Linked DNA regions of Drosophila melanogaster. Changing the gene in region 4 together with the main gene of any one other region gives a genetic interaction. Each region holds a gene or a part of one and is shown on either strand. Other genes may lie near its edges. The genes, in order: RN-tre, vap, PIP4K and Rab5.

Evidence for each region.
Region 1: of Rab5 (region 4) and RN-tre, changing one enhances a phenotype caused by changing the other (phenotypic enhancement), as found in Drosophila melanogaster (one study listed by BioGRID).
Region 2: of Rab5 (region 4) and vap, changing one suppresses a phenotype caused by changing the other (phenotypic suppression), as found in Drosophila melanogaster (one study listed by BioGRID).
Region 3: of Rab5 (region 4) and PIP4K, changing one suppresses a phenotype caused by changing the other (phenotypic suppression), as found in Drosophila melanogaster (one study listed by BioGRID).

Annotation. Positions count from the first base shown.
Region 1 is NT_033778.4:13,985,920-13,992,663, forward strand, and holds RN-tre (uncharacterized protein), read right to left. Parts: upstream 4,789-6,744; 5' UTR 4,647-4,788; exon of another isoform or gene 4,068-4,646; 5' UTR 3,918-4,067; coding exon 3,766-3,917; intron 3,706-3,765; coding exon 3,024-3,705; intron 2,965-3,023; coding exon 2,579-2,964; intron 2,519-2,578; coding exon 2,454-2,518; coding exon of another isoform or gene 2,365-2,453; exon of another isoform or gene 1,630-2,364; intron 1,553-1,629; coding exon 1,122-1,552; 3' UTR 507-1,121; downstream 1-506.
Region 2 is NC_004354.4:15,999,796-16,007,390, forward strand, and holds vap (vacuolar peduncle), read right to left. Parts: upstream 6,018-7,595; 5' UTR 5,190-6,017; intron 4,650-5,189; exon of another isoform or gene 4,533-4,649; intron 4,292-4,532; 5' UTR 4,131-4,291; coding exon 3,920-4,130; intron 3,848-3,919; coding exon 3,734-3,847; intron 3,655-3,733; coding exon 3,582-3,654; intron 3,501-3,581; coding exon 3,091-3,500; intron 2,918-3,090; coding exon 2,068-2,917; intron 1,996-2,067; coding exon 1,089-1,995; intron 1,024-1,088; coding exon 873-1,023; intron 791-872; coding exon 642-790; 3' UTR 156-641; downstream 1-155. Other genes in the region: CG12698 (uncharacterized protein), read left to right, coding at 6,432-6,632, 6,710-6,814, 6,882-7,025, 7,149-7,260, 7,312-7,445, 7,496-7,595.
Region 3 is NC_004353.4:1,191,903-1,198,827, forward strand, and holds PIP4K (phosphatidylinositol 5-phosphate 4-kinase), read right to left. Parts: upstream 4,947-6,925; 5' UTR 4,806-4,946; intron 4,576-4,805; 5' UTR 4,556-4,575; coding exon 4,418-4,555; intron 4,361-4,417; coding exon 4,263-4,360; intron 4,190-4,262; coding exon 3,940-4,189; intron 3,889-3,939; coding exon 3,758-3,888; intron 3,695-3,757; coding exon 3,526-3,694; intron 1,958-3,525; coding exon 1,806-1,957; intron 1,753-1,805; coding exon 1,658-1,752; intron 1,084-1,657; exon of another isoform or gene 869-1,083; coding exon 804-868; exon of another isoform or gene 751-803; coding exon 634-750; 3' UTR 517-633; downstream 1-516. Other genes in the region: CG33521 (uncharacterized protein), read left to right, coding at 118-260, 323-404, 455-457.
Region 4 is NT_033779.5:2,359,262-2,367,188, reverse strand, and holds Rab5 (Rab5), read left to right. Parts: upstream 1-1,915; 5' UTR 1,916-2,128; intron 2,129-2,234; exon of another isoform or gene 2,235-2,352; intron 2,353-2,467; exon of another isoform or gene 2,468-2,876; intron 2,877-3,684; exon of another isoform or gene 3,685-3,784; intron 3,785-4,407; exon of another isoform or gene 4,408-4,514; intron 4,515-5,333; exon of another isoform or gene 5,334-5,450; intron 5,451-5,603; 5' UTR 5,604-5,760; coding exon 5,761-6,029; intron 6,030-6,096; coding exon 6,097-6,217; intron 6,218-6,387; coding exon 6,388-6,556; intron 6,557-6,619; coding exon 6,620-6,720; 3' UTR 6,721-6,733; intron 6,734-6,795; 3' UTR 6,796-7,623; downstream 7,624-7,927. Other genes in the region: Axud1 (AXIN1 up-regulated 1), read right to left, coding at 1-868.

The DNA.
Region 1 (6,744 bases), on a different chromosome or scaffold from region 4:
TTATAGATCTTATAGATCTGATTGTGACCAAGATTATTTTGACTGTAACCGACTATGGATATATACTCACTTGTTGTCCTCCAGCGACATCGTTTCCGAGGAGCCGTGCGAGGCAACTGAAGTACCTGCAAGCGAACTTCGTATTGAGTGCGAATCCTCGGGAACGGTAAGCGTAACTAATAAATTGCGTTTATAGGAATTTCGTATTTTTTGTCGATTTGGTTTGACCAATCCCAGTTCGTCGTGTTGCCAATGCGTTGGGAAAAAAATTTGGTTTTTGGAAAATTGCATTTAGTTTTCAATTGTGGCTGTGATTGTGGCAATGTGAAATTTTTGTTAGCTGTGTTAGTGTTCTTGTGTTTTTTGTACTTGTTTGTGAGGTGCAAATCGAGTCGATTACTTCGTACTAATACTGTTTTCTTAGCCTGAAACATATATTGTAGTACAATAAACTGTATATATTGGGCTAACTGCGAAATCAACCATGCTGGCAAATGTGTTCTTTTCAGTACAAAATCATATTTATTTGTGTGGTACGTTTCGCTATATGTATAATCATATATAATTATTGGCTAATCAATTAGATTACAGCTACAATTTTGGCTTTAACATAAACTAAAAGTTGAGTTTTGTTTGTAATGCAAATATAAAGTAAATGCAAGAGCAAAGCTTAAGTTACCTAATCAGTTGGTTTATGCTAGTAGGTATTGTGGAATTGTGGGTAAGAAGTTAGGCGGTTAGCAATAAATATTAATCGTTGTACGTAGTTTCAAACGGAATAGTTGGAGTCTTAGGAGTTATAAGTATTTGGAATATTAAGTTGAGACTCTCGGTTGGATAATATCGGAGAGCGAGGGGAAAAGAAAGAGTGTGGAAGAAACACTAAATACACACATCGATGAATGCTAGCAAATGAATAACAATTTCAGGTTTCTGTCGGTTCGACAATACAAAAATTAAAGCTAAGTACATGTGGATATTACTACCGAATGTTTAAGGGGATTTTTGAGGGGGGGGGGGGGGTAAGGAATTCGTTATTGGCATATGCGTTTTACAAACCAAGTGGGCAAAACAAACATTAACTACATAAAGAAAGAATACGAAATACGAATCAACTAAGATTAAAGGCGTGTGTTCTCCACGCTCAGCGCATCATCGTCATCATCATCCGCAGCATCCCGATGCCCGTCCATATACCTGCCGCCTCCGCCTCCATTTTGCACGATATACACCACCTGGCTGCTGGGAGTCTTCGGATGGAGGGGCAGCTGCTGTCGCTGGAGCACTTCCAGTGCCTGATCCAGATCGATGCGATTGCGACTGTCGCTATCGCTGCTAAAGCTGTGCCGCATATGCTGCAGCCCGTTGGGCGGCAGAGCTGGATGCGTCTGCAGGTAGCTGAGATTGTGGATACTCTGGCTGCGGGCGGGATCTTGTTCACTATCGATAGTGGTCACCACAAATCCATTGCTGTACAGCGAGTAGCTGCTATTCGCCGGCGAGGTGGCTAAGCTAGTGATACTCTCAAACGTTTTCATTGAGTATCCATCACCTAGGAACAGAATTACAGAAGCGATTGCAAATTAGGTCAGATCTGATTTCGAGTTTTCTTTTTTTTTTTTTTTTTTTGCAGCTCCGATTGCCGGCAAGACGCAGAAGCGGTGGCTTGTGATCGAAACGGATATATATGTACACGCAGCGGACAATGTTAGACAATGGTTACAAAATGGATCATCCGATAACATGAACGTCGAGGGGCGTATTTAATAAGCATGAACTGGTTTTTGTGGCTGCCTTGGTTATTTGGCCCTTAAATGCTAATAATTTACATATACAGTTAGAATTAGTGCCCATTAGATCCGCTACGTCTAAAACTTGGTACTCCATCCAGAACCACTTAAACTCGTCCCACTGTTTCGAGCCATCCATCAAATTACACAAATAGGAATAGGAATTCCCTTCTTAGTTCCCTCCAACGTGCAAAAGGTCAATATTAGCATATTATTCAATTAGTTTAATGCTTCGGCCAGCGAGATGGTGACGCATTTGGGTTGGACTGCCAACGATGACTCGCTGAAAGTGGCTACGATCTTAACGTATACTCAAAAGGAAAACTATACATCGCTACTCAAATCAAACATAATACATATGCCATATATCATAGTCTAGAACTAAACAGGACTTTGTACATAGGATTAAGTCTAGGGCAACACCAATTCAAGTTCGATTTGAGGAACTGCTCGTGTTTCGGTTTACATATACATACATACATGATATATATACATACAATTTGTGATAAACTTGCACCACACAATACAAAATAAGAAATAAATTTTCAATTATTATTGCAGATTATAGTTACAGTCAGCAAGTGGGGTAAGTGGATTGTTTAAAGCAAGCATTAGGATTAGTAGATAAACAGTGTAAGGACTTGTGTGTGACGCATGACTCACCCGTTGCGCACTCCGAAGTCTCGTAGGACACTGTGGACTGAACGTCGATCGCGTTTTGTTCTTGTCTAATAAAGTTAAAAAATTATTATAAATATGTTAACGTTAACAACGCCAAGAGATCCCACCTTGATATCACATCTGTTATGACTTGCTTCTCCGCGTCTGTATAATCATTGCGTCTGCGCCCGATCTTCTTCTCCATATCCGCCTCCACGAAGTCACCTAGTTTGCGGGTGGGGAACTCGTTTGACTTGGCTGGCGGCGGCACATCCAACTTGAGGTCCTTCAGCTTCTTCATCACGCGTTCCAGAGCCTGAATGGCATCATCGTCGCTGTAGCCAAAGTTCTTGTGCAGCCGTACTTGCAAGTACTCAATGATGGCGTCCATGTCCTTCAGGCGCAATAGTTCGTCTTTGTGAAGGTACAGAATGGTGATGGCCATGGACAGTATGACGCGATCGCCGTCTAACATGAATATATCCCACACGCGCAGACTCAAACTAAAAGGAACCTGCAAAAAACAGATCTATTAAGTATTTTTGTAATAAATACACCTTGTGGTTTACATACGCGTTCCACGAAGACGACAAAGAACCACTTAATAGCGTACAGCAGGGCGTCAACGTTGTGTTTGGTAAAGTGCTTGTGTAGTTTTCGCATTATTTTCGACATGATGCGGTCGTGGTGATCGATGAATCGCGTCAGCTTCGGGAATCCCTCGATAAACAGCCCGTGCATGCCGTATTTTTGGTCTGTTATCAGGGTATTTAATGCCCAAAAAGCCTCCTCCTCGTGCAAATAAAGCAACAGCACGCCAGCCACACAGGCCATGCCCTGGCAGTAGCCCAGCTCCGAGTTGTAGATGCTATAGGCGTTGAGCACATTGAATAGCGAGCACTGCTTTACGCTGTAGCGCTCGCGAAAGGCAAGATTGTCGCGAAACTGACGATTCACATCGGCATCGATTTGTCGCGTCTCCGTGGAGTACTTCCTGGCCAGCTGCAGCATTCGGAGGTAGACGCCAGCATTGTTGTTTATCGATTGCTGGATGTCGAGCAGCTTATTCCAGGCCACCATACGCACGCGATCCGGTATGCCCTTGTAGACGCGCTTGTGCAGCTTATCCTGGGGCGGCGGCCACTGATTTAGCATCTTCATCCACTTTTTGTCCCGCTCCATTTCAATCTTGTTGCGATGCACCTCCTGGGCATCACGCGTCGACGGCAGCCGCGAGTCGTGCAAGAAGCCATATCTGTGGGAGCATCAATGGCATTATTGGGATTTTTTCTGGCGAATGATTAATATTACTCACTTGTCTGTCCTGTGGTAGATCTCGAAGGTGGGATTCTCCCAGGAGTCCACCACATTGCTGGGATCCAGCCCGAGTTCGTAGCGCCGGAAGATGTCCTCGCGCTCGTCCTCGGCCCGCTTGACCAGCGCCTCCTGCTGTTCGCCGTCAGTCATTTGGAGCAGGATCAGGATTTGGCGGGTGGGGGAGGGGATCGGGGACAGGAGCAGGAGCCGGATCCGGAGGAGCAAGTGGCCAGAGCTGGTTTCTCTGTGCTCTCAGTTGGGGAGCGGCTGCTTCTGAGCTGACTGGGCGATAGCGCGAAACTTTGATAAAAAAAAAATGGAATGGAAAAAATAACACACAAAAGCATTAACATGCGAAAGCGATCCACAATAACAACACTCGTATACTATATAGCTGATGAGCGAATGACGCACACGAACATTAACTATTGTATATATATATATATATATTCAAATGCAGTGAAATCAACATGATCTTTGTTTTTGGAGAAGGAGCGTGGCATAAATGACGTGATGTTTCACCCATATTTAGTGCAGCATCAAAACATAAAGCCATATAAGACTTGGTCACTGATCTAGAAAAACGCCCCCTGATCTGCGTTGTGTGAGTGTGAGTGGGCCAGAAATGTGTGGATCTGCATGCGCCCCCGGGTTTTTGTCGCCTATTTTAATGCGAAATGTGCAATCTTATGCTTTATCGTTCGTACACTTCCTGTTTTCGCTGCGATTTGTTGTATTTTGTCAACACAGACACATACGCACACACGTAACACACACACACACAGACGCTCCGACGAAAGAGAGTGTTCTGGCTTTCACTGGCCACTCTCTCCGCGTTCCTATGGTTGAGTTTAATTAATCGCGCCGACGTTCGTTTACCATTTAATTTTGAATTGCCAATTCTTATTATCCGCACTGATCGGTTATGTTTGGTAACTAGTTTTTCACTATTTTATCTCGGCTGCATGTTTCCGATACATTTGGGGGGCGACTGAGTGTGTGTGAGGGCCAGAGTTGCCAGACTGATGTAATTGCCGAATAACGTAACGTAACAAGAGTACCAGGGATGCGAGCCAATATTTAAGCGATACTTTAGCGTAATGTTATACGAGTTTAAATTTTAGTTGAAATGTTTGTGATGTCAATGTACAAATATGTAAAATGTTTATCTATTTAAAGCTGCAAATGAATGCTCATTTATAAATATTTAACAATGATATTTATTTACTTATTATTTAAAACCTATTCAGTTACTTAATTGCGACAAGTGGCACTTAATGAATTAAAACATTTGTGGAAAACATTTTCACTTCAAAATTTATTTCTTGATAACAAAATCGGCTTTTTAATTCAAATATAATTTTTGTGACTAAATAAGCAGTGCTGCCATACATTCAACTGGAAAACATCGTCAGCAACAGAAGGATAAGTAATCGCTTGATCGATAGCGTTATCGATGTTTTCCCAGCCATCGTTCCACCACTAGCGCCTCTCAAAACAACAAAAAAACAGCGGCAGTCGGACGCGGTTTTTATCATCGAGCGCGGTTTCTTTGTTTTAGCGCTCGAAAATTGTCGAGAACTCTCGTAAAAAATACACTGTACCAAATAACTAAGGAGTGCATGCTAATTGAACAAGCAAATGAATTAAGGTGTATATCAAAGTGAAAAGAAGTCAAACATAACCGATTTTGTTGGCGGCTTTCTTTTATTTTTGTTGAGATACCGTGTTTAATTTCTCCAGTTTTATGCAAACACATGAATAACATAACAGTGGAAATTTCTAAGAGTGCATTGTGAGATAAAAGTAAGCAAATAATTAATATTATGTTTAACATAAAATGCAACCCTCAACAGCGTCCTTTTTAAAGGTGTGCGTTTATATATATATATATATATATATATATATATATATATGTGTGTTTGTGTGTGCGTGTGAGTGATTGTGGATTTTGTGATGCAAAAGAAAATTGCCGCGTGTAAATTTTTGATTTTCAATTCGAGACGAGCAGAGGATTTTTAAACTGCAGCTCTAGCATTTACCGTTAGGGCAAGAGTAAACACATTCAACATGTTGCAGTCACTAAAAACTAAAACAAAAGCAAAGCGGATCACTCTCTTTCTCATTCTCTCATTCGCTCTCTTTGAGTTATAAGTGTTTTTGCCGTGTTTTGTTTTGATTTTTGCACATACACGAAGACATCGAGAGAGGAGAGCGGAGAGTTTCTGCTCTTTTGATTGTTGTTGCATTGGCCAGCTAATAAAATTGTGCCGTTCTTGTTGTTGTTGCAGTTGGATTAAAATTCAAAGCATTGGATAAATGCTAAGTTGAAATAACAACAGTAATAACAAATGGAAAATAGCAAATAGCAAATCAAAGGAAATCAAAATCAAGTTGGATTATCAGCACAGCTTCTGGGTAAGTAAGTTAAGTCTCTTATCGCCTAATTAGTTTATAGCGTTTTAGTTTCGTGTGGGTGGCTTTTTGCATTTCAAAACCAGTTCTATTTCGGGTTTTCATATGCCTTTTTTTCTCTTCTCATGTTGATAAGACCTTGAAGCGCTTTTCGTGTAGAACTTCGCATGATTGATGTTTTTATGTTTGAGGGGAGCTTGAGTCAAAGCTCGGCTTTTAAAAATGGATCAAGACCAGTTTTTCGAGGCTTTGGAATTGCCAAATAATTTCCTAAGCCCAAACTGCAGTTTGTTGTGGTTGTTGCTATTGCTTTTGCTTGCATCGCCTAGAAAATGATGGATGCACACACCTCTCGCTCTACCCTTGCCGTCCCTTTCGCACATCCAGAAGTTGTCGGTTGAGTTTTTATGGCCGTCTCTTTTGTCTCTCCATTTATTTGCCTTTGTCTTTGGACTGATGACTTTGTTTTTGCCCTGTCTTTGATTCTTTCTTTCTCTCTCTCTGCTTCTTCTTCAACGTTGATCCTTTGATTTCGTTTGATCCTTGTAGGTAGAAAAGATTG
Region 2 (7,595 bases), on a different chromosome or scaffold from region 4:
CTTTGAAGAATATATGTATTTATATTAAATTCAGCTGACTATTGACTTTTCCATGCCCATTGCAACGCCTTTAAGTGCGAAGAAATTCGAAAAAAAAACATTTTTCAGCTGCAAGAAACCGAAAGGGAGCCATTCAAAAACACAGTGTATGTTTTCAGAGGAAGTCTTTTGCACTCTTTTTGAATTCTTTAATTTATTTCGATTTTATGCGTTATTTCAAAAAAAAATGTATTGACTTTTGGATAAATGCCGTGCATTTGGACGCCAACTGCCATTTGACGTTGGTAATGCACTAATAAATTTTAAACAATATCGAAAGCAAAACCATTTTGAATATCTGAGTTTGCGGCTATACGGAGTAATCCGTGTAAGCTAGTGTATTATAGGTTATTTTTAATTTGTAATAATAATAATAAATAAATGCATACCGGTCTGTTAAATATTATTTCATTTCCATATAAATAATTTTATAAATGAGATGCTGTTTACTATTCCAATACAATTCAACCAGTTATTTTGAGTTCTTATTTTATGTATTCTAATAGTATACACATATAAATATTTTTATAAAAAGGTATGAAGGGACTTGTAGATAAGAAGACATCGCTTTTTTTTATTATCCGCTCTCCTCGCAATTGATTTTAGCTGATCATCTCGCGATACTTCAGCTTGTGTTTGGTCAGCATGTCCGTCACTGTGACCAGCTTCTTAATTGAAAGTATGTTGGATAGCTCGTGCAGTTCTTGCGAATGAGATACGCAGATGTGATGCAAGGTAGCCAGCTCGCGTCCTGCAGGAATTATAAAAGAAATCATTGTATATTTAATAATATAACAGCGCCAAATAGAAAACATGAGCTGACAAATAATTACCAGTGTCTTGTGAATTCAGATTTGTACTTTGTTCGACAAACATTCCAAGCGGTTGGTTCGGATCGTTCACCGAGGACAGTTGATCCAAGAAAACAATCATACGCTCCTTGTTCTTCAAGATAAACGGATTGACAACCTCCATGTATTGTTCCTAAAAATGAAAAAGAAATCGAATTTATTTTGGTAATCACATAACTGAGTCGAATCGATACGCACCTTGCCGCCGAATTCAATCAAGTTGGCCAGATTCTGCAGACACTTGGCGACCATGACCAAAGATCGTGTTGCTGCCATCGGTGGCGTCTCGCTGACCAATCCAAATTGGCGTGGATTGAGCAGCGCTGGGCACAGAAGGCGCAAGAATATAAAGCCAGAGACGACGCGTGTGCGAACGAGCCGCTCTGTCGGCCATTTGGCCATCACAGCCTTCTGAAGACAGCTGCAAATGAAACGCACGTTGCGTGGACAGGCGTCCGGTGAAGTGAATATCGACTGGGTGACCAGATCGAGGATTTGCAATAGAAACTCGGCATTCGTACAGGCATCATCGTTGACGTCCATTTTCGTGGGATTCAATTCAGCCGACTGCTTGCTCTCCAAAATGCGCTGCACGGTTTCGCTGACGGCCGATTGCAGGAAGCCGCTGCATTCGGTGCGCATATATAGATCCATTAGGGTGGTGGCCAAGGATGCGCCACGGAAAAGCGTTGTGGTTTCGTTTTCGCGCGTCACCTCCGCTTGGCACAGCATTCGAATTAGTTCCGTTTCCCGTTTCTCCTGCCTAAAGACTCGCAACAGAGCCGTGGCCAAAGGAACCCGATCATTATGGCACAATTCAGCCAGCGCCTTCACAGCATACAGCTCCGATTCGAGGAGCAATTGCTGCAGAGGACTGTACTCTTCACACGGCATTATCAGATCGTCGAGGTAGCGCATACGCAATCGTAGCGAGCCCCATTCACCCATCGGCGTCATGCCAGTGAGTTGGTACCAGCCCTCGGTTTCCTGGCCATTCTTTAGACTAGACAAGTCAATGGTTAGCTCAGCCACTTCGGAGTCCTTACCGCGTTTGCCGCGCGATATTAATGTTATGGTTAGGGAGACAACATCTGGCGGAACATCGCTGCAAGCAAGCAAGTTACAAACATATATTATTCGATAAGTTATCAAATAGGCGAAGGAATGGTAGACTTACTCTAGCACAAACTCCTCTTCCCAAACGGGTTCGGGTGCAATTTTGACACGAGTTTTGCCCACTTTGACTTGATTGAGGGAAATACTGCAGTATGGATGTGGCACTAGTTTAAATGGTAATCGATGAGCTTCCAGCACATGCAGATTAAGACAACGAAGCTCACGAAGGCGTGATACCTTCTTCTGGGCACGACTCAGCTGGGAATCGCATTGTGCCTTGAGCGAATTAATCCACTCCACGTAGCTTTCCTGACTAGGAGCACACAGATACGTCACTGTGGCCAAGCATGGCAGGGCCCTTTCGACAATTTGGAAGCAATAGGGACGCTCCCACAGCGAATCGTGACATTGATAGAGGTAAGCACAGGACAAATCGATCAGACCCTTCGGTTTGGTCTTCTTCGGATTGTCGTAGAAGCATAGTTGCGTCTCGGAACCATCGTTGATTAAAGCGAAATAGAGTTGCTTCCATTTCGTCGTTTTGTCCGACTTCTTGTTCAAATGGCCGTGATGTTTGATTCCCTTGATCTTTTTGAGACCGATTTGGTCACGACACTCGCGCAATGTTGCGTAGATCTTTTCAGCGGCCTTTTCCACAACATATTGCTGATTGAACTCGGGCTGAATGCCATTGACAACTGGATGGTTCAGTGAGTGGCCCTCCACAATTTGCTCTTTGCGATATCGATTTATAACCGCATCCAAGCATTCGAATGTACGACCGCCCATTAAATAGCGCACGCCTTTCTTTTCAATACGAAAGCGTTGGATTTGATTGTTTATATGAAAGAATAGAGAGTAATCCCCCGGTGAGTTGTCACTTGGGCGAACGAGGAAACTTCCTGGTCCAGCTGTTAGGATGAAAAAATGTGTTTCAATTACATACATATAGCAACAGAGAAAAGTCGAAAATATCGATTGTAGGCGTCACTAGAAGAAGCTCAAAATTCTAAGGATTCATCTCGTGAATCTCGGGAAAGCTTGCTTTCCTTACTTGTAGGTACCTTAAACTAATAATACACACCTTTAACCAACATATCGACGGCTTCGTTTTTGGTGCAGTTGGGATGGAACCAGGGAAACACCGTATTTGGATCGATAGATACATCCAGATCGTCAACAAGTTCTCTGAATATCATTCCCTGCTCGCCCGTACGATGGGCAGTCACCCACAACCAGCCATCGCCCATGTCATTGTGTACAAAAAAGATATCACCTTTCTGGAAACTCAGTTCATCGGTCTCTGGCATTTTTGTGTAAGGCAGGATGGCTACGACGCGTTTCTTATCATTAACTGGCTCCGGCGGAGCAACTGGTATGGCCAAGCGTTCGCGTTTCAGTAGATCACTACATGAGGTATAGTAACCAACCAAGTCGCTTAAGGAAATGAATTGTCGTCCTCCGATATAGAAGTCTCCGCACACAGCTGTAATCCTATGTTAACGATACAACATACATATATAAAAAATCATTCAAAACAATGGCATTTAATGGGTATCTTAACCTATTACTTACCGAAAATGATTTATGCCGGTGCGGCCATAATAACTCAGAACATAGGAGCCAGGTTTGCGGTCACTTTCGCGAACTGCTCAGCATTAAAAAAAGAACACAAAGGTATTTATTTAGTAATACTTTCTCACCTTCGAATACCATCTTATACACACCTAAATAGCTGCCCAGTTTACTGCTTCCGCGTAGGCGAGACTCTGCAGAGTAGCGATCGAGTCGTCCATGGTACCATTCGCTTTCCGGAGGAGCAATAATCGCTGGACGTTCACCTGCGTTTGGAGTTTGCAAGGAAAATTAGTTATCGATCGAACTACAATGTATGGGCATGTAACTTTACTTACCATTCAGCATATGTGGTCCATCGAATTCATCGTGATCCAATTCCTGAGCCAAGTCACCCAAGTCGATGCCGCCAGGTGCCATTATGCCACCCAATCCGGTCATGCCACCCAGCCCCGCAAGATTCCCATCATCCGAACAGCCCGTTGGCGATCCGGGCTTATCTTTCTGGATGACAACATCAATGTTTCCCAAATGTATTAGGTCCGCCATTGTTAGGCTTATGATCTCTGTTCAGCAAATGCGAGTCTTAGTCTATATTTAACTTCGAGTGGAATTCGATTTAATAAAAGCCACATATAGCAATGATAAGAATGCGTTTAACTGAGGAGATACGTTAACTTTTGTGACTGTGTGGGGTTTTCCGTGCTAAACTGTAAGAAGACCAGATAAAAACACTTAGCTGCCTTACTTTGATTACAATACGAAAATCATATTTGATAAAAATCAGAAATCAGATTAGAGAGTCACTAATAGAATCAAATGCTTAACTAAACCAAGATATGTCTAAAACCATTCACTAAAAACGCCCCGAGAGATTTGTTAGTTCTAGTTTCCGCTTTCTAATGCTATTAAATATAGATAATGGAAAATAATTCGGAATTCGGGGCTTACCGTGAAATCATTTTCTTTGCCATATCGGTGGTGGTAATCTCACAAAAACAAATTGGAATAGATTCGCTATAAGTGTCCAAAACAAAATTCGGGTCCAATGTTACGAAAGTTGAGGATCTAACAAATAATTTAACAACGTATGCAAAATTGTGGGGCAAGAATACATCACACCTACACTAAATACGATTAAACCTAAGCCTATTGGTAAAACAAGAAATTTACTAATAGGCGCTATTACAACCGATTACAACCAGCACCAGAAACCGGGTTTATTAATTAGAATATAGAGACAATGCTACTTTATATCCAAAACCATATTTAAAAGCAATTAACGACGTAGACTTCGCAGTAAACTAAATGAAAGATAAGATGGACAGCACATCCATCAGCTGTTTGCGCTTTGTTTACTTTTACAGATAACAAATCAATTGTGATTGTTTCAGTCAGTAATATAGGAGTGTAGTGAACCCACAGCTTAGACAACAAAAAACCATACAACTTTAAGATCTTTAAGTTGTTTCTTCTATAAAGATTTTCATCTTAGAATCTGTATATTGATTCTATACGTTTTCAATGTGTATGGATAAGGAAAATTGTCTATTCCATTTCTTTGATATTTTAAACGGTTTTTCATCGAATTATTAAATAAACATTTACCTCTGGACGAATTAAGCTGTGAGCCACTGTACATATGTACATATTGCTCTTTGAAATCGCCGGGCGACTGACTTTCTTACATATGCGCAGACATTTTTAGGATATTTCGAGTTGTATGAAAGTACAAGTTACTTATGAATTGTAACACCGTATATATACTTTATGTACATTGGTATATATATAGGAATATGCTGCACCCTCTTGTACATCAACATCTATCTAAAACACAAGCGATTTATATGAGCCGCACACCACACACAAACTTTAGGCTAAGCCCTTTTTGCCAAACGAGCCGAACACAAAAAAATTCATTCGGTTCTTTTCTTCATACATACACGACCCGAAGAGTCATCATATCATCATCATCATCAACACCATCTCATCATCATCAACATCGTCATCACCGTCGCCGTCTTTATCATACTCCTCTCAAGCGGGGTAATTACTGCCCATTTGATTCACAATTTCTGGGCTGTGTTCGGTTTGTGATTCCTTTGTAAATGAATCATTAGCACAACCATTTAATTCTCTCTCATATGGGTAACAAAAAATACAAAAAAAAAAAAAATAAAACCATTTACACAGAACATTAATCGGTTAATGCGCATGTGTAAATATTTTCCTCTATATACTTTACATTGCACTGCAGCACCGAGCTAAAAAAACAAATCGCGCTGCTGGGAATTGCCGTCTTTTATTTGCTCAACTTGTGTTATTCATAACAATTGCATATTTAAAACGAACTAAAATTTCTTCCGTACCGATAGCCACAGAATTCAATTGTGCGCAGTGTGAACGTAGTGAATCATCGAAATATACCACACACCCAACTTATCGGACGAATGTATGTGCGTCAAGATAGCGCCAGAGAGTACAGCTCGAATAAGAAATCGATTATAAACGATAAGCCAATTTAAGATATAATATTTTAAAGAAAAAACAAACGCAAATAATATTTATTCAGCATTTGAATGTACATTTCTTAAATGAAAAGCTAATATGTGTTGAAATTACAAAAGATGATTTAAACACTTTGAAAATAACACATGTTTTTTGTGCGCACGAAAACCGTTAGCCGTCAAAATCTGAAATGGGGTAAAATTAAGTTTATATATTTTCATATTTTCAAGCTTATTTAGACAGCAGGCGGCAGCCCGAATCTTTGTCATTCGAATACTATTATATGGACACAATACTCTGAACTGAACAGTTCGACATCAGTGGGATTTAGAAGGCATAATCATGTCCAAGCGCCAACGCGATGTTCACGATGGCGCTGGAAAGAAAATAGCCAAGATTCGGTTTAAGAAGCTCATCCGATCCGTGATACTGAATATGCAGTGGCTAAGTGAGCTGCCCGAGGAGGGTGGAATATCGCTGAATGTGAAGAAGAACGTTGCCATGCTGCGACAGAAGCGCAAAGTGGGCATGATGACCATGGCCGTAAGTCCAACGAACCTCTTCTTTCATATCAAGGCTAGCTCAAGAGTTTATTCCTTTTTGTGTTTGCTTAATTGCAGGAGAAATCGCTGCTGCGCACTCCACATGCTAAGCGTTCCGTCGATGAGAGGAAAAAGCTCTGCACCATTGTGGCAAATCTGGCTTGCTTTTCAAAATTTCCGCCAGTGAGTAGCGCGCTGATCATTTGTACATATGTATAATATTACTTATCCGACCTGTTACCCCTTTTAGAAAGTCCGCGCCCGTCTTGTTCCGATTGTCAAATTCATGGCAATATCTCCCGGGCGTATTGTTATGAAGGAGGAGGATTTTCCCGTAACCATTTATTTTATAATCGCCGGTGAGGTGGAAATGTCTAAGAACATATATAAAAAGGTAAACTATTCAAATTATATATAATACTTTCTAATATGCTTTGCATAGTTATAGCTACAATTTTTCAATTATGCCTTATTAAATATATATGCTTTTTTATTTGAAAAATGGTATATTTCTTAGGGCTCCAGTCGTCCTACCGTACAAACGGAGGCCATTTTTGGACCCGGGGATTGCATTGGTGATATTGACGTGATGGAAGATACACCCAGAACCAACACTTATATCGCCACAAGTAAATCGATTCGTTTGTTTCTTGACACCTAATCGCATTTGATTCTTTCAGCTTATTGCGAACTCCTGGCTATATTCAATACGAACTATAAAATTGTTCTTCTACCGTTTATGCAAAAGATGTGGCAGGAAAAGAAGGATGCTCTGCGGGCCCTTGACTATTTTGACTTTCTCAACGAAGAACAGGTAAGTATAATAGTAGATAAAAAGAAATTATAATATAACTTGTTTGTAAGATTGTAAATGCCAGTAAGTATGGAACAATTCAGCAATTCGAGCCCTTGGAGACGATCTACACCGAAGACTTGGGTACCATGAGCTATGTCTATTTTGTCC
Region 3 (6,925 bases), on a different chromosome or scaffold from region 4:
GGCCAGTGTAATAAGTCCTGTACTCCCAATAACAACTAAAGAGTCTTTAATGTTTTATAGCTTTAAGTTACCAGAAGTAATTACAAAGTACATTAAATACACTTCTCGTTTTTTTAGGCGCAAAGTGTTGCACGAGCTAAGCAATTGAGAGCGAAATTTGAAAAATGGCAAAATAACGAAATAGAACAAGAAATAAAGGAAGGTCGCATTGATGTATATTCACAGCTTATTTCAAACGAATCTATTGAAAGTGCCAAAGCGTAAGATCAAACTTACTTATGTATCTTGACTAATTTGCAAGGTAATGGTCCTTTAATTTCAGAATACGGGAACGCTTTGAAAATATGAAAAAATCGGAAACTGCTATGGAGAACCCATCAAAAACTCAAATAAAACGTTTTGTTGTAAGTGCAGTAGAATAAATATCCTTACCCGACTCACCAATTTTTTCTAGTAACATCGTGATGGTCACTAAATCCGAATTATTTCTAAATGGATATTTAAGGCAATATATTTGCATTCGTCCAAAAGATGATCATCTGGAAGCTTCAAAATAATATCTTATATTTTATGTCTTAGATAAATACATTTTTGACATTTTGAATGTGGCAAATACATAATGAGTATAATACTTTATTCTATAGCTTTATCCATAAAGTCCAAGAATCGTTTGGCATATTGTTCAGGGTCACAGGTTGATATACCGTCAACATTACTGCCATATTTAACAGTTTTGGCTGCTTTAGCTGCCTAAAATATGCTGTTAAAATTACAACCTTTCTTTTAAGTATTAAATGAAATACCTGTTTTTTTACTCCATATTGTGTAAGAACGTCAATAATTGCAATAAAGTAAATTTCGCGTTTTTCTGCAATACAGTTCAAAATATACATTAATTCTCTAATTTTAATACCGGTAGTATTAGTGGCAAAACGGTAGAAGTGATTGGACCAAAAAATTAAAATGTGCACTAAGAAACCAGTAATAGAAATCTCATTAGTTAACAACTGAAATTTAAATTTATTAATGGGGTTCTATTAAAATAGTTTTTACCTGCATTGTATGTCAAAGAACAAAGTATTTATTTATTCTTTATAAATTTATTCTTAATAATATTTATTATTAAATATATTAAAGAATAATATTTATTCTTTAATAAATTATTTAAATAAATTGAATGTAATGTAAATTGGTGTAAGGTTATCACACATTTTTGCTTAACTATATTGTACCCCTTGTATAAGCGCAATGCACGAAACACATCAAATGAAGCGAAATGGTCACGATAGTTGACGATTGAAGCAACTGAAATTTTATGATGATTGCCACTAAAAGAGTGATTCCCAAGTCTGATTGAAGCTACGATCTTAACTGCTGAATCAGAAGAGAAAGTTTAAGTATCCTATTCAGAAATCGGTACTCCCCGGTGTTTTAATCATGCATAAAATGGAAAAACAACATATATTGTTTTTCCAAATATTTTGGGTAAAATCTTAAAAAAACGAGCTTTAACGTAAATTTTGTTTCAATTTTTTTACGTCATAAGCACGCACGCATCATTTTCAAAAACTTGAAAAATATAAAAACGACCAATATAAAAATGCTCTTTGTTAAGTTATCAGGGCTATTGCGTACAAAACTTTTAAACTACATTTACCTTCAATACTTGGAATGTCATATATATCAACTTCATAAACGACTTCCTTATACTGTGCACCTCTTGGAGAATCGGGAGGAGTGTTATACGTCCAGCTTTAACAAGAACTGCGTACATTTAAGGCTTAAATAAAATAATTTTTATTTACCGTTCCCCGCTATCGCATTCCTCGCTTTCGCTGTTCTCACTGCGACCAACAGTTAGTATATTATCTCCCTGCAAAGCTTCCTCCTCTGCACGAACACAGTCATGCACGCCGACCAACAAAGAGTAATCCATAATGTGCAACTTGGTTAAAAGCTAAAATAAATTATATGTCACCATATGCTATCAAAAAGTATTGGTAATTTATATTTATAAATAAATAAATTATCAAGTCATGCAAGACATAATTATATCTACTGGTTATATAGGTTAAACTACAACAATTTAAAGGTTTTTAGATAAATTTGTTCAGATTAAATGGTTTTCAAGTACCACTTCGTAGGACTTTTTTTTATGAATTAGATTTAACGCAATATGCTTGAAAATGGCAGCACATTCGTATGATTTTCAAGACCTGAAATTTATATAAAATGTGCAAGGCGACAAATTTGTAGTCCCTATGAATTAATAACATTCAAGATATGTAAGACGATGATCCTCGATATGTTAATTGCACTCCTTATAGCACTTACAGCTTCCCAAATTTCGATGTTTCAGATCGATTCAACAAGTCTAGTCGTCGCAAGCTGAATACTCTAATGACAAATATTCTAATATAAAGTCATTTTTGAAATTTATTTTCTGGTATTATGTACATAGAAGATTAGGCTATTATTATTTCTAAGCTATATTTAAATAAAAACAACGTTAAGGCAATTCAAAACAAATAAATTTGTACATGGTGCCAATTGATCAAAAATAATGTAGATTTAAAGTCTAAGAACTTCTAAGATGAAGGGCTTATTTCGTCAAATTTACAATGCATGAGCATACGTACAGTTGTCGGCTGTCACTGTACGCGTAGAAAAGAGCTGCTGGCTGTAGAGATTTCCGCTCTCTCGCTCTTGAACAAAAATTCGAGAGAGCCTGGAGCCACCTCTAAAGCCACGCCAAAAAAATCGTATGGCGTTACGCATCTTGTTATTCTATAGTCTTTGGTAAATTGGTATACTATATTGGTACTATTGGTACGCGTAGAAAAGAGCTGCTGGCTGTAGAGATTTCCGCTCTCTCGCTCTTGAACAAAAATTCGAGAGAGCCTGGAGCCACCTCTAAAGCCACGCCAAAAAAAAATCGTATGGCGTTACGCATCTTGTTATTCTATTGTCTTTGGTAAATTGGTATACTATATTTGTTGGAAAGTATATAACAGGTAATATGAAGCGTTTCGGACGCTATATTCCTGATCAGGATCAATGTCTGAATCCGAACGTCAATCCTTATGACCGCCTTGATCTCAGAAACTATTAAATGAAGACATGAAGATTTGAACTTTTGAATATTGTTTTTATATTTTTTCATATTTTTTTTAGTCTTGTAAATTTCTATTGATATGCCAAAAAACTTATTGCCACCTGTCGCCCACATTTATAACAAATTTTATTTAATTTTATTAGTTGTGTCGCAGTTTCTAGCGAACTTCTTCGTCCAGTCAATTCACATTTTTCTCCTCCCATCTAATGCCGTTAATATTAGGGCAACTAGTTGGGGAACCCGACTATAGCGTTCTCCCTTGTTTCTCATTTGATTCCCCAATTAAATTTCGCTTTGACTTTCCACTAGCTGAGTAACGGATATCTGATAGTCGGGAAACTCGCATTCTTTCTTGTTTAAATTTTGATAAAAACAATTATTATACGAATAAAATAAAAATTTTTGCTTACATCCACATCGTTGCTCAGCGTGTCCATTAGTTTGTCCTTAGCTTCCTTTCCAATGTCTAATTTCACTTTTTGTTTTATAAAATCATTGTCCTTGAAAGTCGGCAAATTTTTTTCAAGTTCCTTTTCTGATGCTTCCCGATCAACGGTGCTACCTTTTAAATCAAACTTTCTATCGAATAAATAATGGTTATACTATACATATAATCGGTGTAACTTTCAACATATTTCATACTTGTGTATTGTCAAGTGGGAGCTGAAAACATTCCTCATGACAACGAAGTAATATTGCACGCTTTCTACAGTGATACGATACATTCCCAAGTATTGAGGTAACAGCGTTTTTCCGTGTCTCTCCACAACGTACTAAAAATTATAATAAGGATATTTTAGTCAATTAAACCATACTTTACTCACCGGATGGTATTGCTTTAAAAATGCGTGCATTCGTTCAATTTCTTCCGATGTCAAACTTTTTATTATAAAAAACTTATCATAACTCTGATAAAATTGCGCTCCTGATTTTCCAGACGAATCAATTTGAATAGGTTGGGATCGAGTTAAGGACTCGCGGTAATCAACATCATCAACGCCAAATCTTTCACGTAAATTTCGAAACACAAGGGGGCAATATTCCTTGACTTTGAAATGTGACGGCATGTTTTCTCTGTAGTGGATATAATAACAGGAAAATACCAACGATTGAGAATATCAAAAATGTATTTGTTTTGGTTTCTTACTTATTAAATAGATGATTATCCACCTTAATTTTAGAATAAGCTCGAAAATCGTCCGGCAAAAGCATTACAGGTATATTAACGTGACTTAATTCATTAATCTGGAAATATTTCAAATTAGCTTATCTTGCCTTTCTTGTTTAATATTTGTTACATACAGTGTGATTTATTCCCCACATGAACACACTTAAAATTGGTTCATTGGCTCTAAATAATTTAACCTTTTGATGCTTAACCCTGAAGTGCTTCTTTTTTAAAATCCGGGGCTGGGATGACGATGAGATCTTTTTTTCCATATTTTGGGTGGCTAAAATTACTAAAATCAAAAATATAGTTTAACATTACTGAACAAATTAAGCAAAGTTAAATTTAGAGCTGATGAGCCACTTAAAAAACTAATATTTTTAATAATACATGCTGTAACATTGAATATATACATTCACTTATATATCTATATACACATATAGCCCAAAATTGATTAATACAATGTATAGAGTTGCACGTAAATTGTTTACCAATTTACATTAAACAGAACTTTGGTATTACATTTTATTGAAAACTAAAATAACCCAGCGTTCATAATAAATTTAGTTTACTTTGCAGATATGATTATTGTATTTTACAATGACTCGCAGGCTTTTGAACAGACAAATTTGTAGTTTACATAAATTTATAATATGAAATACCTTATCGATAAATTCAGATATGTATTTATTGTTTTTTATATCGGCTTATGAAACGCCGTTTCCACTTAAAAGTAATTCTGATATCACAAACTATTTAATACTTTAACTCTTAAATCTTCTAAATACTTCTATGCTTCTAAAAGGACTTCAGAGAGTTGAAAATCTTTTAATAATAGCAAGCAATACTCAAGAGAAACAATTTAGATCAAACAAAGAGACTAACCGCATTGTATATTAAATATAAAGGTTTTTGTAGGAGTTGTTTTTAGAAAACCAAAAGCACGTGCTCTGATATGAAGACAAATTTAAAGTGGAACACAAATGTGAGTTGATCGAAATTCTCTGCCATATTAGCGCTCGGGAAAAATTGAATTTATAAAATAAAATATAATCGGGCAAGCTCCGGTATTCGAATTCGTAAGAATTTTACGATTTCGATTTAAAATCGAAAAACTGGTGCTCCTGTGTTCGAATTCGTAAGAATCTTACGATTTCGATGTGAAATCGAAAAATTGGTGCTCCGGTTTTTGAATTCGCAAGAATTTTTCACTTTTGTTTGGCCGAAATGAAAAGTAAATGCCTATATTTATATCAAATCAGATCTTAGTGGTACCTTCTTTACTCCACATCACCCCACAAGATCATTCTGCCACATAGATATCTTATAAAATATTTATTTCTGATTAAACCTCAGATTTGACAAACAACATGTTGCCTTCGGCTACAAAAATTTTCGATCTTTTGATTTGTAAAACGGGCACTTTTGTTTGGCCATAACAGATCTTAGATCTTAGTGGTCCATTGTTTACTCCACATAACCCCACAAGATTATTCTGCGACATAGATATTTTATAGAAAAATTATTTCTGACCCCACCTCAGATTAGTGGTCCATTGTTTACTCCACATAACCCCACAAGATTATTCTGCGACATAGATATTTTATAGAAAAATTATTTCTGACCCCACCTCAGATTTGCCATACAAAATTTTGCCGTCGGCAACAAAAATTTTCGATTTGGCAAGAGGTCATATGTACGAAGGTAAAAATACTTATAAAATTTAAAAAATTGTGAATAAGATGGCCGCTCTATGGTCTGAAACAGCTGTTTACTGTTTATGAAGCATCCCGATATCAGAAATGTTGCGAAAACCAGAGCACCTAAAAACGAAATCGAAAGATTTTGCCCAAATCCAAAAAATGACCATTACCAGAGCATGCCGGAATAACTTCATTAGTTTTTATTAATTTGTTTTTAATCTGTTTACACCGTTACTTTACGATTCGGCTTGCCAAAGATAACTTTCTTAATTCAATTACGAAAATAAAGCTGCATGCTTTATTGTTCATGTTTTGACAATAATAAAAGCACAATAAATATTTATTTTTAACGTTTTATGAATAACGTTTATGAATATTTTGTAGAAAAAACAATGCTGAAAATATCTTTTGTGTTAGAGTCGGTTAACACTTCCCCTTTTCAGTAGAGTCGGAAAAAACTGAAGTACATCGGATAAATAATCATACCAAACTACTTCATTCTGTTTAAAACTTTCGATTTGATAGCTGTTTTGTATTTTAATTTTCTTATTTAAAAATATATATATTTTATATATTTCAAAGTGAAATGTAATATGATAAGTTTAAAAATTTAAAATTAATCTAATAAGAAAAAGAAAATCCTAATAAGGGGAAGAGTAAAAATACTTAAAAACTTTAGGAGAAAGAAACTTTAGTTGTATCACTTTTGTCTAAGAAGCCGCTATATATAGCTTGATTTCTTTCCTTCATAATATGATAATTATGCAAATTACATATATTTAGTTATATTTAGTTAAATTGTCGTTGTACATTGAATGATTTTTTTTACTATATTGATAGTAAAATACAAGATAATTATATCTTAAAATTTTATTGAGATACTGGCAGTTCTCTAAGCTCTTTTAACATCACGATATATGTGCGATCACTTACTGTCAT
Region 4 (7,927 bases):
ACATGTCGGGCACCAGATCTATAGCATCGCTTTCCGAATCTTCGAGTCTCCGTTTAAGGTTGGACCTTATGGGCTTCGTTTCCACCTTTTTCTGGATTTCCGGCTCGGCTTCTTTCTCCGCCTGATCCTTGAGTAACGCGGAGGTTTCACTTCCTAAACCAGAATCAGACCCACCATCTCTAAGCTCATCCTCTTTCGGTTTGGCTGGCTGGGCAGGCTCCAATGATGCTTGGTTGTTGGACACCACCTCCGCTGATCTGGTGGCCATTTCCGTCTCATTGTTCAACTTCAGCCAAAGAAGTTCTCCACTGGTGTCGACCTCCTCGTTTGTGGTGACCGACGCGGAGTCAAGAATGTTGTCAATTGCCAGTGGGTCCTCGGAGACTGCGTCGGAAGCTATTGAAGAGTTAAGATCCGCATCGCCTAGTACGATTATCTCATTATTAGGATAGTTCTCCAGCTCAAGGAACTGCTCCTCTAGTTCGGTGTCCGCCGGGCCGTGAGCAAAGTCCGCCAGTTCATCATCGAGCTGCTCAAGCGGCATGGGTAGGGAAGCCAACGCCTTGGCTTTCGCTGCGTGCACCTTGCTGGCGTCAATTATGGAGGTTTTGATCTGCCTCTCGATGTCGTCGTCGTCATCGTCCAGGTGGGGAAATATTTGCAGCTGATGCTGCCGCTCCTCCGGTTCGCTCTGATTATCCTTGTGATCCAGATGCCGCTGATCCTTCCTTTCGCCTTCGTCGTGGGCAGTTAGGCTGGTGGTCCCCTCCCTTTGGCCGGCGGCCTTGTTTCCTGATGGGCTAAACATATTGGAGCCGCTCGCATTTTTTTGTATGTACGTAAATATTTTTTTTATAGGACTAAACATGCTATCCGTGTCGAGGTCCCTAGATCATTGAGTGTCCTTTGGTCATCTGCAAGAAAGTAGGAGGAAATGGTTTTACATAATGTTGCTTGGAAATTTCCTTCGCAGGTAGCGAAAACGTATAGATCAGGTGTGTATGTACAGTGTCCATTCGAGAGGGAGAACTGCCGGGAATGCGAAACTTTATTTCTGAGTAAATTAATTACACCTGTTTACGTTTCGTAAGAGCCCCTGACCAGGTCCTAGATCCAACAAACAAATTGCCAAAAGCCTAATGAGTGTACCTTTTACAACTTGTGTAAATATTTAGAAATATTAATTTAGCTCAAGTATTAATTTTACTGCTCGCAAGAAATCAATTGTTTTCTGTGTACGTGTAATGGTTTAAAAATATATATCTTTCGCTTTAATGTTCCGCTCACTTGTATGTTCGCTTTTTCGAATGAGCACTGTGCTTGGATGGGTGTGCGTGTGCAGAATCCTTTGAAATCCTGGATCCCCGAGAATTTCGCACGCTAGAAAGGAGACCACCCGAAAAGTAGACATACCGCTAACCAAAATCAATATTGATTAGCTTCTTTTTTTGGGGGCCCACCTTTGCGCTTATATTTTCGCAGCCAAGCCAACGGCCGGACTCGCAAGATCGGTGGGATTTATCCTTTTTGCAATTTGCGTTGCAGCTGCGATAAAAAACTGAGAGCGAGAGAGATGACGAAAGACGCAACTGTGTGCGTGTGTTTGTGCAAGTCTGTGCGAGTGTGTGCGTGAAGGAGGCGAATCAGGACACAAAGGTCGGTATTCTTTTATTAACACAATCACTTTACTATGCGCCTGGCAACGCCCAAAATTATGATTTATTTTTTAAAACTCATTTCGCACTTCCGTAAACTTTTTCTTAATTTTTCACTTCTTCTTTTCTCGCAATGTTATTACTTCTTCTATTCAGTGTGCCCGTCGCTGGACCCCTGCAACATGACAACAGTCCTGCACCGATCCAAATGTACTTAAAAATACCAGGCAAAAATTGATAAAAGTGTATACGATAGAGCGTGATAGATAAATGTGACTCACTAGTAGATGGTGCGTGTATTTGCTAAGAAATAATTCAGAAGAAAAATTAAAACAAATTCACCAATGGAGCCGGTTCCTGCAAGCTCATTGATTACATAAATTCATAGTAAGACAATTATTATGTAAAATATACCCGTTTTACGATTCATTAGTTGACTCGTGCAGCAAAGAAATATGTTTTGTATATTCACGGTAAGAAATGTTTATATTAAAATTTTATTTATATTGTGTAATATGTTGGTCCCACTAATCGATAGAAATATGTATCGTTGGTTGGAGCCTCTGCTAACGAGCAGAGCTTAGGATATGTTTGGCATATTCCAACAGTCGTCCTGCGGTCACACATAAAATTCCAAGAAAGTTGTAAGTTAAGTTTACTAATAAACCAGGCGATAATTTCGCTAGCCATTAGCAAGGCAAGGAAGCTAAAAAAGACAAAAATCTTTGGCAAATCAATGGTGACGTCGCCCAGGAAGTTAATCGACAAAAACACGACCTGCGACGCGACGATAATTTTGCGAGAGGCGAGTCAGTCGCTATCTATCTCCCTCTGCGCTCGTTTCGTTTCGTTTCTTGGGGCTGTTTTGGGGCACACAATTGAAAGGAAAAAACGTAAATGCAAATGGTCAACTGGTCTCCAAGTGCCGCGTTTAGAAGAGTGCGTAATTCGGCGGAAAGTCGAGTGCTTTTGCGTTGTTGTTTTCGCTCACCCCTCGTAATTAATTAAGAAAGTTGTGTAAAATTTTTTCGCCCCGTCCGCCATAGTGCGAGTGTAAGAGCGAGCGCGATAGATGGCCCTGAATTTTGGGTGCGTTGCCCATGAGAGTGGGCGCTAGAGCGAGACGGCCGTACGACCTGCTCCAAGTGCAGCGTGCACAGTGGGTCGCAAGGCCTAAGATAGTTCACGAATCTAATTGTGAAGAGATAAAGAACACTGCAGGTGCACTCTGGTATGGAGTAAAGCTGGCAAAATCGGATCTTGGCCCGCATTATCACCCAATTTATCAGCGCTTTACACGCCAAAACGGATCAAAAATCGCGGTTCTTTGTTCCGCCTGTTTTGCGTCTTTAGTTATGAGAGAGAGTGTGGGTGTGTGGTGTGTGTGTATTTATCGGCAATCCGTTCCCTTATCGTGCAAGTTTCTCAAAGAACTGTCTTTGTCTCTGATGTTTCTATAAAGCCCAAATGTAAACAAAAACGCATCCTTCTATTTGTTTATTCTAGACCTTTTCGCTCGCTTTGCAAATGGAAGACCCGCATTTGTCAAGCTATACATATTTACGGAGTGATGTGTGGTGTGACAGTAAATATAACGCTAATTGTATTCTCCGTTTTCTAGACGTGCTTCAAATATGCGTGCTGAGAAAATTGCACTTGTTGACTTTTCGAGTGAGGCAATTCCACAGTCAAGCTCACGTGAATAGGGCCATGTTGATATAATGAAAATGTTTTAAGTTTCCAAAGGTGGATTTAAAACTTAATTCATGCTTAAAATTAAGCACAAGCTATGTGGACGTTCTTCTTTATTTCATATTTATATTAAATATCTTTAAAATCTAACATAAGATTTGTAACTTAATTCCACGTATTACAGCTATTTGATTGATAAAGGCTGTGGCTACGTATGGTTGTTGTTCTCGCTCTCATTCTCTTTTTTGATTCACTTGCATTTGTATTAGTCGCGTGAATGACGCATCGTCAGCTGTTCTAAAAGAACCGTAATTTCCTGAACGTTGTTTTATATTTTATTGAATTTTCCGCAGACGGGCGCGAAAGTCACTCCTGTTGTCCAAGTGACTTTAAAGTTTAATAAACCGCATTAATTACGGTTCGAATTAAAATTAGCGGTGAGTTATTTACTGACAGCTGTCCGCTTCTCAAGGAAAATTTTGCATTGGCTTAGTGAGACACACTGCTTGTTTTAATTAAATTTAAAGTGCAGTTTTCGTTTTGGCTTAGACGCAAAAAACAGCAAAATACGTCATTCGCTGGATAATGAAAAGTAATTGTAGGCGAAATTTCTTTATCGCAATGAGAGTGCGGTTTTCGAAAAGAGAGACCAAGTTGTCGGCTTCTGTATGTGTGTGTGACTGTGCACTTGGCTCCAAAGTCTCCGGGAAAAAAACAATTGAATGATCGGAAGGGAGGGGGAGAAACAAACAATTGTTGACTGACTGCATTTTTAATGGCAAAGAGAGGGCCTGCATATTTCGCTCTCTCCCTCATTCCTTGTTAATTTAATAACGCCGCACAGCGTACATGTTTGTCACGCTTTTACTTTCTCCACGTCTCCCCGTTAATTTATTTTGCATTGATTTTTATCACAGCTTCCGCCCTCACTCTGTGAATTCTCTTCGCTCTGCGCTCACTTCTCTCCACAAAGTAAACAAGACTCGTGTAGAATTCCATACCCCGATCTTCGTAGATTTATCTCCACTGTACAGTCTGGCTTCAATGTGTTAATTAATTTCTGTCGGAATTCTGAGATTCCCGTCGTCGGTCATAAAAACGAAAAGCATGTGAACGATACTTTGTGAAGATTTGAAAACGACTTTAGCTTAGTTAATATATGCAACAGTAAATATTTTTAAACAATTTTAATGATTACTCTCTGTTTAAAACGATATCTTGTTTCGGGATCAACGTATCTGTGGGACATCGGTAAAAGTGTAGTGGCCAATGGGGCGTATGATTCATAAAAGTGGCACTGATAACAAAAATACTGTGAATGCCACACGCATTACCGCTGAATAATGCGAGGCGTCCTCTGTGTTATGTACTATTATACACATATGTACACAAATTCACCCGCCCTCGAAATATTTTCCACCAGAAAGTGTGTGAATTATCAATTGCGCGGTAGCCCCTAGAGGAGCTGCAATAAATATCTTTTACGATAACTTAGATTTCCCGCACAAGGGACCGATAAGAATGTTGTAGTTTCGATTACTTGTAAACCCCTTATCTGCCACGAAGAAAGGGAAAAACAATAATTGCGCCTAGAAAGCGCATATAAGGTTTCCCCTTTGTGTTTGCCAAAGTATTTTTAGTTGTTGATGGATTTGTATTTGCACATGTAATTAAGAATGTTTGTGTTTGTGGATGTTTGAAGCAGTCACGCAAGGAATTTTCTAAACACAACTCATAACATTGAACATCTAATCGTGGAACAATTGCTTTCACTGATTTTCCTATCACAAGCTTATCAGTACTATTATGTTGCCAAGTGACACAAATAGTAATGATATGTTTTCGGATGTGTAACACTTATAAATATAAATATAAATAAACTAATATAAGCTCTAATGTGAGTTTTTGTAGGGCGTACTGCTTTCAATTTCAATTGAATTTATCAGTGACCATTGGCAGACGCTTCCCTTTTCCTCTGTTTCATTTACTGATGGAAAACGTCGGCTTTTTGTGCATATTCTCGGATATGTACATATTGAACTGGGCTTGTCGACGGCGTCATTAAACAAACAAAGGCGCCACACAATCATCTGATGGTTTTATGTGGGTTTTATATTCATCCACATGGGCAGCATGTTTTCAAGGGGACTGAGTTTAAGCCCTAAAAACGTACCATTATGGCAGAAGAATTGGAAGCACTCAATTTCGTTTTTATCCGTCTCCATTATAAATATGTACATTATTTGTATTTTGCAGATTCCGCATCCACACTCAGCAGCAATCTTAGCAGAAAGACTTACTCAGCAGAAGAGGGAGTGAGTTGCAGTAACCGTCCGTAGAACCAAATATCAGTTGCCATCTCAGAGGAGGAAGAGCGCATCCACATTCGCATCCGATCCAACCCGAACCGATCATGGCAACCACTCCACGCAGCGGCGGTGCCAGCGGCACTGGAACGGCGCAGCGGCCCAATGGCACCTCGCAGAACAAAAGCTGCCAATTCAAGTTGGTGCTCCTCGGCGAGTCCGCTGTGGGCAAGTCCTCACTGGTGCTGCGCTTCGTCAAGGGACAGTTCCACGAGTACCAGGAGAGCACGATAGGTGCGGCCTTTCTGACACAGACTATTTGCATAGAGGACACTGTCGTTAAGTTCGAGATCTGGGACACGGCTGGCCAGGAGCGGTAAGTATCGCTGGATAGATCACCCAACTGAAAGCTTCATCTGACATACTTATATTCGCTTTTGTAGGTACCACAGCTTAGCTCCCATGTATTATCGAGGAGCGCAGGCCGCTATTGTCGTCTATGATATACAGAATCAGGACAGTTTTCAGCGTGCGAAGACCTGGGTCAAGGAACTGCATAAACAAGTGAGTGTCAGCGGGGAAACTTGAATATCGTGCAGAGTGTTTTAATATTATAATCATTTATATTATTGCTCATGAAGTGCCTCAGTTCAATATTCTTAACTCGAGAAATTCGTTCACTTGATACGTAAATTATATTACATAAAATATGTATTAATAAAACTTTTTTCCAGGCCTCACCAAACATTGTCATTGCGCTGGCCGGCAACAAGGCAGATTTGTCAAACATTCGCGTCGTAGAGTTCGATGAAGCGAAGCAATATGCCGAGGAGAACGGGCTGCTGTTCATGGAAACCTCCGCCAAGACGGGCATGAATGTGAACGACATCTTCTTGGCCATTGGTAAGCTATAAGGAGCCGTCGTAAACGCTTCGAAAACTTTGCTAATCACTACCCCAACCACAGCCAAGAAACTACCTAAGAACGATGGCGCCAACAATCAGGGAACCAGCATAAGGCCGACTGGAACCGAAACAAATCGACCGACGAACAACTGCTGCAAGTGATGTCCCTTCGTAGGTAAGTTAATTGCGTTGGAAATACGGTTGCATTACTAACACAGTTTTTTTTTGGCTTTACAGAAAATGAAATTTCCAACGAGAGATTTGAAAAGTTTATGCTGATAATTATAAATAAAAAAATTATTTAAAAATTCAACAGAATCAGAAAGAAATACCTAAAGCCGGCTCTCGCAGGGGACGAATTTCATTTGAGAGCCACGAAACCAATAATGATAAAGACCACATAAGAATTATAAGCATTAAACAAAGGAGCTCCCATTCCCAACATAAACGAAAGTTGCAATTAAAGAAAGTTAGTTACAAATTCCCACACCCGATTTCCCCCATTACGCTCGATATCTGTCCAAAAAATATACAAGCAAACTGACACTCACGCAATTGAGCTAAAATATCAGTATAATTCCAACATAAACCATTTCAAATAACAACGCAAATTAATAATGAAAACTAAACATGAGAAGAAAGCGCAGGGTTTTTGGAGATTTCATCGTGTCGTAGAAAGTTTGAAATCGTATTGTATAAAAAAAAGAGAGAAACCCCGAAACCAACTAAGCGAGCAAAGAATATTTGTAAAGATTACATGTCGTGTAAGATTCTGAGCATTAAGTAAGGGGCAGATTCCAGTTGCAGTTGTTCTCAGCAGCGTTCCAAATAAAACAAACAAAACAAACAAACACCACAAGGAGCAAATGTTCAGGCCAGCGGCTGAAGATCCTCGCTCGCCTCGGTTTGTGGCAATGTGTGTGTCTCTACGGCTCCGGAGCTCGGACTCCAGATCCGGATACGGACGCGGATGATTCGACTCCGGGTCGCGGCGGACACGTGTGATAGTTGCAATTTATATAAATTATATATACACATATGAAAATGAAGGAAAACGAAAACCACAAAAAAAAAAAGAAAACCAATTATGCATACTTTTAGATTTTTTTATTTTTCAATTTCGCCTTGCGTTGAACTATTTTCCACATTCTAGCAACAATCGAAGATTTAATGCTACTATCTTTAAACGTAAACGAGAACGGAGATACTATCGTAATCCATAAAAATTAAACTTACATCTAGTATGCAATTAAGCGGAGAGGAAGTAAAGTGAATTAAAATAAATAAATAAAACAAATCGAACAACACAATACCGTAAACAACTTGTTTAAATCGTTCCACAAACATCAAAGATCCGATGCATATTTCT